Linked DNA regions of Saccharomyces cerevisiae S288C. The protein of the gene in region 1 binds, or shares a complex with, the protein of each later gene. Each region holds a gene or a part of one and is shown on either strand. Other genes may lie near its edges. A codon is read from its position in the direction of its gene.

Region 1 (2,998 bases):
ATCTTCCCATATGATCCCTTGAAACTGGGAACCCATGCCCATGATTCTGCAATGGTTTGGTTTGGTGGCAGAGATATGCATCCAATTGAGCCTACTCAAAAAAACTTCAACACATACTGTAAGTTTTGTGACTACAGACACGTTTGTTCTTGGAAAAATAAAAATGAATTGAAACTTATTGATCTAGGGAAAGAATTAAAAAAAATTATTCTTGAATCAAGTATGAAGTAGTGTAGGTATTGTAACATTATTTATTCTAGTTATTAAAAGGGTGTTGTTTCGTGAATACATTGAAGTCCTTTATTGGGTTATTAAGCACATAAATCTGTTTCTGCTTTCGGACGTCCTGTTTCAATAAATCGGAATTGAAATGACAATTTAATTTAAATGTATATATGCAACTTTCATTAAGAGGTCATTAGGTATTTTAATGCGGCCTTCTCATTCATCGGAACGATGTAATTGCCTTTAGAATTAAAACCCAAAGAGAAACATGTATACACTTACTAACTCTATTATGTTTGGATAGAGCTCCTTGATAATTCAGTTACAAAACAAATTATATGTATATTCAATGCCATTTAAAAAGTATGCATCTACACTTTTTTTTTGCAAATCTTTATCGCTATAACTGTTCCTCTTTTATAACATCAATCAACCAATCTAAACCTTCGGTAATACCTTCGCCTTTAATTGCACTGGATGCTACGATAGACCAACTTCTGTCCTTCAATTCTACAAGATTCAGTTCTTTGGAGACTTCACTGGCACTTAATGCACCCGGTTGGTCTTGTTTATTTGCAAAAACCAGCAGTGCTGCATCTTGCAATTCTTCTTCCTGTAACATCAAATGAAGTTCCTTAGAGGCTGTAGACATACGATCTTTATCAGTCGAATCAACAACGAAAATAACTGCAGCAGTGTCTGCATAATAACACCTCCAGTAGGGCCTGATACTTGTTTGACCACCAAGATCCCAGACGTTCAATTTTAAGTTTTTATAACTTAGCGTCTCTACATTGAAACCAATGGTTGGCTTTGTAGTGACTACTTCGCCAATTTGTAAACGATATAAGATGGTAGTTTTACCTGCACCATCCAAACCCAAAATCAATATACGCAATTCTTTGTTTGAACCCCATAGTTTGTCAAACATTGAACTAAAAATGTTACCCATCTTGATCTATAACTCACTTTACTGGAACTTTCTTCTTAGATCTTTCTTTATTTTTCCTTTGGTTTTAGAAACCTTATTACTCACCGTTTCGTAAATACAAATGAACCACGCAATCCTTTACTACTTGAAAGTTCCGAGAACATTCTGCCTAATATTAATTGTCGTAAATCTAACTTTTATAGGCAAAATAGTTTTATTCAAAATTTCAATTGGAAAGGGCTCTGTTACCCGTCCTGTACGATGCAGTGGGTTTTGTTATTGTCATAAGAAATATTTAACCTACTCTTCCCATATATATCATAGAACACATTCTTAGTATGTTTTGAGAGCATCAATCTAACGTTGCCTTTGTCGTGATTTTGTGCGAGGAGGCGATATAAGAGCTAAACAGATTTTTTTATATTTTAATCAAAAAGCTAATAATTATGGCTTACTCTTTAACAAGGAAATTGCTGAAGGATTGGAAATATTTTATGCGCCATCCTGAGAAGACCCAAGGTCTTTTTCATGTAAGGCCACATGATTCAGACTTACATCTTTGGCACGTGGTAATGTACGAGCCCAGGACTTCTTTGGAAGTATATCTACTACTTTATATTGGCGGAAACGACCAGGATCCATATATCATCATGAAATGTCTGTCTCCAAATTGTTGCTTTCCAATTAACAGAACGGTTTCGATGACACACTTAAACTATCTTTTATTGAAAGACTTGGGATTACAGGATTTACTTTTCCACATATGGCAACCGCTTTTTCATATTCAAGCAACGGAAGACTTACAGTATTCACCGTCAACGGTAAAATTCAACAGGGCGTGGAATAGGATTATATATAAGGACTTTAAATCTTATTTTCCGGAACTGATAGGTACTTTACAACCAGGTGATTACTCTATAGTAAAGAGCTATTCCAAAAATCATAATATCAGCAATAGTAATGGTGGCAGTGTCAATGAATTTATGTCCTCTTACAATGCTCAAAGCCACACCTTTCACGCACAAGACAACAGCAAGAACCCTTATACTAACAGCAGCATAGGAAAGTCTAGTATGTTATCTACTCTCAACAATAATAACGTTAACAAAAGGACACATGACTACAATGCTATCGACTTTATGACCAAAAACTTACTTGCATGTGATGATGACAGTATTCATCCGGTCGTAAGTTCTAAAAGGTCAAGAACGTTGGCATGTCCAGATGAAACGAACGATAATCGCGGTAGTGAGCATTACACAAAGAGGAAAAAAATCTAATGGGTTTATTTTTACATAGAATAGTAGAACTTTCTTCCTTTTTTCACGATTTTTTGCATGGGCATTTGTCACAATATATATTTTTATTCAGTTATATAAATATACTCCTTTTCACAAAAGAAGGCCTAATATTATAGGAAATCAGCATTAAAAACATTATGTATTTCTTTTTTCAGCGGCCGAACGGTCACTAGAATGACTCAGAATGGTTTTTATCATCTCGTTGCCAATGAGATTAGCCTCTGGAAGCATTGGCTCAAAGAACTTTTGAACACTCTGAAATTGCTTTTTGTATATATCAAAATTGGCAAAAGAAACAACCGAGCTCCATTCTCTAGCCGAAATAACAAATTCTAAATCATCTTTTATGAATGATTTATCATGGATAGCTGCATCAATTGTCTGTTCTAATAAGCCAGGTTTTAAAAAAAGATATTCGGACACACCCAGGAATATTCTGAATAATGGCGTCGAACAAATCATATGATCATATGGATCAATACCAAGTTGAAACCACGAATCAACAATCGCCAACAATGATAAATGTGAATTCGGCACTGGC
Region 2 (6,901 bases), on another chromosome or scaffold:
ATTCCTCTTGTTGAACATTCTGTATCTCTCGCGTATGAATTACCTTCTAAGAATGAGTTCAGGTCCAACAGCAACTCTGTAGTTTCCTCGCTTTTGCTCGATAACAACCTTCCAGGGTTATCAGGAATGAGTGGAGAAGGATTACTAATAGAATGTGCGCCACTTTTTAAAGTGTATTTTATCAAAGGATTTTCCGGGGTTAGATCACGCATTAATGCATTAGAAGTTGGCACCGGCGAACACTGGTCAGTTATATGATTACAATATGTCAATGAAAATAGTTTCGGAATGTACGGCATCGGAGTGAAACATAACTGCTTGAATTTTCCACGTCTTTCATCCAAGGATACGCAATGTCGAACATGCTCAACGATATTGCTTCTCTGGGTGCAAGGAAACAACCTGTCCCTTAATATTCCAACTGAGTTCACAGAATCGAATAAGCCTTGAAAATGTATCTTTACCTCGTAATCCCTAGAGAATGTTTTCTTGAATTCTTCAGCCAAGGTACTTGTGTACTGTAATTCATTAGGCTGCGAATCGTATTCCCATTTTTCATAGATTTGCCATGCCATTTTAACCATTTCTTCCAAACCTTTACTCAAAAGTCCGACTCTTTCAATCATTCCAGCAAGAACTCTTGCAATAAAAGCTCCTCTAGAAAAGCCAAACATATAAATTCTATCTCCTGGTTCAAAATACTTCATCAAAAAAAGATATGCAGAACATATGTGATTGTCTAAACTGAATGCGAACATAGAATCTAATAAATTTTGTAAGTGAGAAATAGTTAACCGTCTTCTGACATCAACAACAGCGTCAAATCCAACTGAACCAATTCCAGGTTGGTAATAACAAATTTGTTCAGAACTATCACCGTTCTCAAGAAGGTTGTACAATTTTAAAATATTAGTGAATGGCTGAGGTCCAAAATTTTCTCTTGTTCCATCAAAACAAAGAATGATATTCTTGCCAGACGATGAATGTGAGGATGGATTTATACTTCTGTCGCCTCCCGTCCCATTTTTTTTATATTTTCCATGAATATAATTGAAGCTATCCATCTAATGGATATTATGTTAGTGTATTATTTTTTATAAGTTACATCACCTGTTTGCTGTTATTTTACTACATCTGTCTGAAGTACATTAATTTGTGGCGGTTTAACAGTATATTGAATGTGACAAACACACCCAGACACCTCAATAGACAACAGGAGGGCCATTACCATAATTTCATAACATTAAATATTCCAAGTAACATTTTTCAGAAGACGAAGAAAGACTAATTAACAGGATAATAAATATTAACATTATCTTTTAAGTACCATACTTGAAGCGTCAATTGATGTATGTTTGGTTTTCCACTATTTTCCTAAAAGCATGAATCTTTTCTAGGCAAAAAATTGGAATGACGACTCCTGATCGTTAAAATGGAAGACAAACACTAGAAGTTGACTTCAAAAAAACTTCTTTCATTAAATAAGGGAAATATCCGGCCGGCTCATACTGATAATATACCAGCAACATTTACAGGAAACTGCAGGTTTTAGGCAGTGTGGCGAACCGCAAATAAAGTAATAAACAACAATTTCAAACGGAAAGGACTCCTCTGCTAAAGATTTGATGTTTTTAAGTTCTTTTATAGTTTATATTGGCATAAGAGGTAAACCATATTTAGCACTTATTTTCATAAAGTATTAGAAGTGTTCTTATATATTTCATTACCCGACTTGAAAAATACTACGCGGTTCATTGCGAGAACCTTCAATAAGTGTCGAAAGAGCACCTACATTGGCGTTTAAATAATAAACACACCAACCTACATATTACGTTGAATTTAAATTCTTTCACTGCTTGTAAACCATAGACAATAAACTGATTAATTTAGTATCTAAAAAATCTTTTAAAGGGAAAGAGAAGAGGCGGAAAGATGAGTGATAGGGAATTCGTCACGGTAGATCCCGTCACTATCATAATCAAAGAATGCATTAATTTATCGACAGCGATGCGGAAATACTCTAAATTTACCTCTCAATCTGGAGTGGCCGCTTTGCTGGGGGGAGGAAGTGAAATATTTAGCAATCAAGATGACTACTTGGCTCACACATTCAACAATTTGAATACCAACAAGCACAATGATCCATTTTTATCTGGATTCATTCAGTTAAGACTTATGTTGAATAAACTGAAAAATCTAGATAATATAGATTCACTAACCATATTGCAGCCATTTTTATTAATTGTGAGTACAAGTTCCATTTCTGGTTACATCACTTCCCTGGCCCTGGACTCTTTGCAGAAATTCTTTACCTTGAATATCATCAATGAATCATCGCAAAACTATATTGGTGCACACAGGGCGACGGTAAATGCTCTAACACATTGTAGGTTTGAAGGATCTCAACAACTTTCTGATGATTCAGTTCTTTTGAAAGTCGTGTTTTTACTGCGTTCAATCGTCGACTCACCTTACGGAGATTTATTATCAAACTCTATCATATATGACGTATTGCAAACGATTCTTTCATTGGCTTGTAATAACAGAAGGAGCGAAGTCCTTAGGAATGCTGCACAATCAACAATGATAGCCGTTACCGTAAAGATTTTCTCAAAACTAAAGACTATTGAGCCTGTTAATGTGAATCAAATATACATCAATGATGAAAGTTACACAAATGATGTATTGAAGGCCGATACAATTGGCACAAATGTAGAATCCAAAGAAGAAGGAAGTCAAGAAGATCCCATCGGCATGAAAGTGAATAATGAGGAAGCTATTAGCGAGGACGATGGCATTGAAGAAGAGCATATTCATTCAGAGAAGAGCACAAATGGCGCCGAACAACTAGATATTGTGCAAAAAACAACAAGATCAAATTCCAGGATCCAAGCGTATGCTGATGATAACTATGGATTGCCCGTGGTTAGGCAATATTTAAACTTATTACTATCATTGATTGCGCCAGAAAATGAATTAAAACATTCATACTCCACTAGAATATTTGGCCTAGAGTTAATTCAAACGGCATTAGAAATTTCAGGTGATCGATTGCAGCTATACCCACGGCTTTTTACACTGATATCAGATCCTATTTTCAAAAGCATTTTGTTTATCATACAGAACACTACAAAATTATCACTACTTCAAGCTACATTGCAGCTATTTACTACTCTAGTTGTTATATTGGGCAACAACTTACAATTACAGATCGAGCTCACTCTAACAAGAATATTTTCTATTCTTTTAGATGATGGTACCGCAAATAACTCGAGTTCTGAAAATAAGAACAAGCCATCAATAATAAAGGAACTTCTAATTGAGCAAATATCCATCTTATGGACTAGGTCGCCATCTTTTTTTACTTCTACTTTTATCAATTTCGATTGTAATCTCGATAGGGCAGACGTTTCCATAAACTTTTTGAAGGCTTTGACTAAATTGGCCTTACCAGAATCCGCCTTAACTACCACAGAAAGTGTACCACCCATTTGCCTTGAGGGATTGGTCTCCCTAGTCGATGATATGTTCGATCACATGAAGGACATTGACAGAGAAGAATTTGGCAGGCAAAAGAATGAAATGGAAATCTTAAAAAAGAGGGACCGTAAAACAGAGTTTATTGAATGTACCAATGCATTCAATGAAAAGCCCAAAAAGGGTATTCCGATGTTAATAGAAAAAGGTTTCATTGCTTCCGACTCCGATAAAGATATTGCGGAGTTTCTTTTCAATAATAACAACCGTATGAATAAAAAAACAATCGGTTTGCTACTTTGCCATCCGGACAAAGTAAGCTTGTTGAATGAATATATTCGTTTGTTTGATTTTTCAGGGTTAAGGGTCGATGAAGCTATTAGAATTTTGTTGACGAAATTTAGGTTGCCTGGTGAATCGCAACAAATTGAAAGAATCATCGAAGCCTTCTCGTCTGCGTATTGTGAAAATCAAGATTACGATCCATCCAAAATCAGTGACAACGCGGAGGATGACATTTCTACTGTTCAACCAGACGCTGATTCTGTTTTCATTTTAAGTTATTCAATTATTATGTTGAACACTGACCTACATAACCCTCAAGTGAAGGAACACATGTCATTTGAAGATTACTCTGGTAACTTAAAGGGATGCTGTAATCACAAAGACTTCCCATTCTGGTATTTGGATAGAATTTACTGTTCAATCAGAGATAAAGAAATTGTTATGCCTGAAGAGCACCACGGCAACGAAAAGTGGTTTGAAGATGCTTGGAATAACTTGATATCTTCAACTACTGTTATAACTGAAATAAAAAAAGACACACAATCTGTCATGGATAAATTAACACCCTTGGAGCTTTTGAACTTTGATAGAGCAATTTTTAAACAAGTTGGCCCAAGTATTGTCAGTACTTTATTCAACATTTACGTAGTTGCATCTGATGACCATATATCTACCAGAATGATAACAAGTTTGGACAAATGTTCCTATATTTCCGCATTTTTTGACTTCAAAGATCTCTTTAATGATATACTAAACTCCATTGCTAAGGGCACTACTTTGATTAATTCAAGCCATGACGATGAACTTTCAACTTTAGCTTTTGAATATGGCCCAATGCCACTGGTGCAAATTAAATTCGAAGACACTAACACTGAGATCCCGGTTAGTACAGATGCTGTTAGATTTGGTAGATCATTTAAGGGTCAACTAAATACAGTTGTTTTTTTCCGGATTATTCGCAGGAACAAAGATCCTAAAATTTTCTCCAAGGAATTATGGTTAAACATTGTTAATATTATACTAACATTGTACGAAGACTTGATTTTGTCTCCTGATATTTTCCCTGATTTACAAAAAAGACTGAAATTAAGCAACTTGCCTAAGCCATCTCCTGAAATTTCTATTAACAAGAGCAAAGAAAGCAAAGGTCTCTTATCAACATTTGCTTCTTATTTAAAAGGTGATGAAGAACCCACAGAAGAGGAAATCAAATCCTCAAAAAAAGCGATGGAGTGCATAAAGTCGAGTAATATTGCCGCCTCTGTCTTTGGAAATGAATCAAATATAACAGCGGATTTAATAAAAACTTTACTAGACTCCGCCAAAACTGAGAAAAACGCAGATAATTCCAGGTATTTTGAAGCAGAACTTTTATTTATCATCGAATTGACTATTGCATTATTTCTATTTTGCAAAGAGGAGAAAGAATTAGGAAAGTTCATACTTCAAAAAGTTTTCCAACTTTCTCACACGAAAGGCCTCACGAAAAGGACTGTTCGTAGAATGCTAACATACAAAATTTTGTTAATTTCGTTATGTGCGGATCAGACGGAGTACTTGTCCAAATTAATAAACGATGAGCTGTTAAAAAAGGGGGATATTTTTACCCAAAAATTTTTTGCAACTAATCAAGGTAAGGAATTTTTGAAGAGACTATTTTCATTGACCGAATCAGAGTTTTATAGAGGATTTTTACTAGGAAATGAGAATTTTTGGAAATTTTTAAGAAAAGTTACAGCAATGAAAGAGCAGAGCGAGAGCATTTTTGAATATTTAAATGAATCGATCAAGACAGACAGCAATATTTTGACAAATGAGAACTTCATGTGGGTCCTAGGACTATTAGATGAAATTTCATCAATGGGTGCCGTTGGAAATCACTGGGAAATAGAATACAAGAAATTGACAGAAAGTGGTCATAAAATTGATAAGGAGAATCCATACAAGAAATCGATCGAATTATCATTGAAATCCATTCAACTAACATCACACTTGCTGGAAGATAATAACGATCTGCGTAAAAACGAGATATTCGCTATTATTCAAGCTTTGGCACATCAATGCATCAATCCGTGTAAGCAGATAAGTGAATTTGCAGTGGTAACGCTAGAGCAGACGCTCATCAATAAAATCGAAATTCCAACTAATGAGATGGAATCGGTAGAAGAATTAATTGAGGGCGGATTACTACCGTTGCTAAATTCGAGTGAAACACAGGAAGACCAGAAAATCCTCATTTCATCCATATTAACAATAATTTCAAATGTTTATTTGCATTATTTGAAACTAGGGAAGACAAGCAACGAAACGTTTTTGAAAATTTTGAGTATTTTCAATAAATTTGTAGAGGACTCAGATATTGAAAAAAAGCTACAGCAATTAATACTTGATAAGAAGAGTATTGAGAAGGGCAACGGTTCATCATCTCATGGATCTGCACATGAACAAACACCAGAGTCAAACGACGTTGAAATTGAGGCTACTGCGCCAATTGATGACAATACAGACGATGATAACAAACCGAAGTTATCTGATGTAGAAAAGGATTAAAGATGCTAAGAGATAGTGATGATATTTCATAAATAATGTAATTCTATATATGTTAATTACCTTTTTTGCGAGGCATATTTATGGTGAAGGATAAGTTTTGACCATCAAAGAAGGTTAATGTGGCTGTGGTTTCAGGGTCCATAAAGCTTTTCAATTCATCTTTTTTTTTTTTGTTCTTTTTTTTGATTCCGGTTTCTTTGAAATTTTTTTGATTCGGTAATCTCCGAGCAGAAGGAAGAACGAAGGAAGGAGCACAGACTTAGATTGGTATATATACGCATATGTGGTGTTGAAGAAACATGAAATTGCCCAGTATTCTTAACCCAACTGCACAGAACAAAAACCTGCAGGAAACGAAGATAAATCATGTCGAAAGCTACATATAAGGAACGTGCTGCTACTCATCCTAGTCCTGTTGCTGCCAAGCTATTTAATATCATGCACGAAAAGCAAACAAACTTGTGTGCTTCATTGGATGTTCGTACCACCAAGGAATTACTGGAGTTAGTTGAAGCATTAGGTCCCAAAATTTGTTTACTAAAAACACATGTGGATATCTTGACTGATTTTTCCATGGAGGGCACAGTTA

Evidence for each region.
Region 2: the proteins of ARL1 (region 1) and GEA2 are in contact, whole or in part, in a cryo-EM structure (PDB 8EZJ), measured with the Saccharomyces cerevisiae proteins. Residues at the interface, in NP_009723.3 of Saccharomyces cerevisiae: Ile50 (codon at 1,030), Gly51 (codon at 1,027), Phe52 (codon at 1,024), Ser74 (codon at 958), Ile75 (codon at 955), Pro77 (codon at 949), Tyr78 (codon at 946), Arg80 (codon at 940), Cys81 (codon at 937), Tyr82 (codon at 934); in NP_010892.1 of Saccharomyces cerevisiae: Pro71 (codon at 2,143), Phe72 (codon at 2,146), Ser74 (codon at 2,152), Gly75 (codon at 2,155), Gln78 (codon at 2,164), Leu79 (codon at 2,167), Met82 (codon at 2,176), Asp93 (codon at 2,209), Leu95 (codon at 2,215), Thr96 (codon at 2,218), Ile97 (codon at 2,221), Gln99 (codon at 2,227), Pro100 (codon at 2,230), Leu103 (codon at 2,239), Thr107 (codon at 2,251), Ala144 (codon at 2,362), Asn147 (codon at 2,371).

What each region holds. Positions count from the first base shown.
Region 1 is NC_001134.8:567,250-570,247, forward strand, and holds ARL1 (Arf family GTPase ARL1), read right to left. Parts: upstream 1,178-2,998; coding exon 626-1,177; downstream 1-625. Other genes in the region: EXO5 (Exo5p), read left to right, coding at 1-231; UBS1 (Ubs1p), read left to right, coding at 1,603-2,436; TYR1 (prephenate dehydrogenase (NADP(+))), read right to left, coding at 2,593-2,998. UniProt on the Saccharomyces cerevisiae protein: Recruits golgins such as IMH1 to the Golgi. Can bind and hydrolyze GTP. May be involved in trafficking events within the endosomal system.
Region 2 is NC_001137.3:109,489-116,389, forward strand, and holds GEA2 (Arf family guanine nucleotide exchange factor GEA2), read left to right. Parts: upstream 1-1,932; coding exon 1,933-6,312; downstream 6,313-6,901. Other genes in the region: YEL023C (uncharacterized protein), read right to left, coding at 1-1,064; URA3 (orotidine-5'-phosphate decarboxylase), read left to right, coding at 6,679-6,901. UniProt on the Saccharomyces cerevisiae protein: Activates the ARF proteins by exchanging bound GDP for free GTP. Plays a role in maintaining mitochondrial morphology. Stimulates DRS2 flippase activity.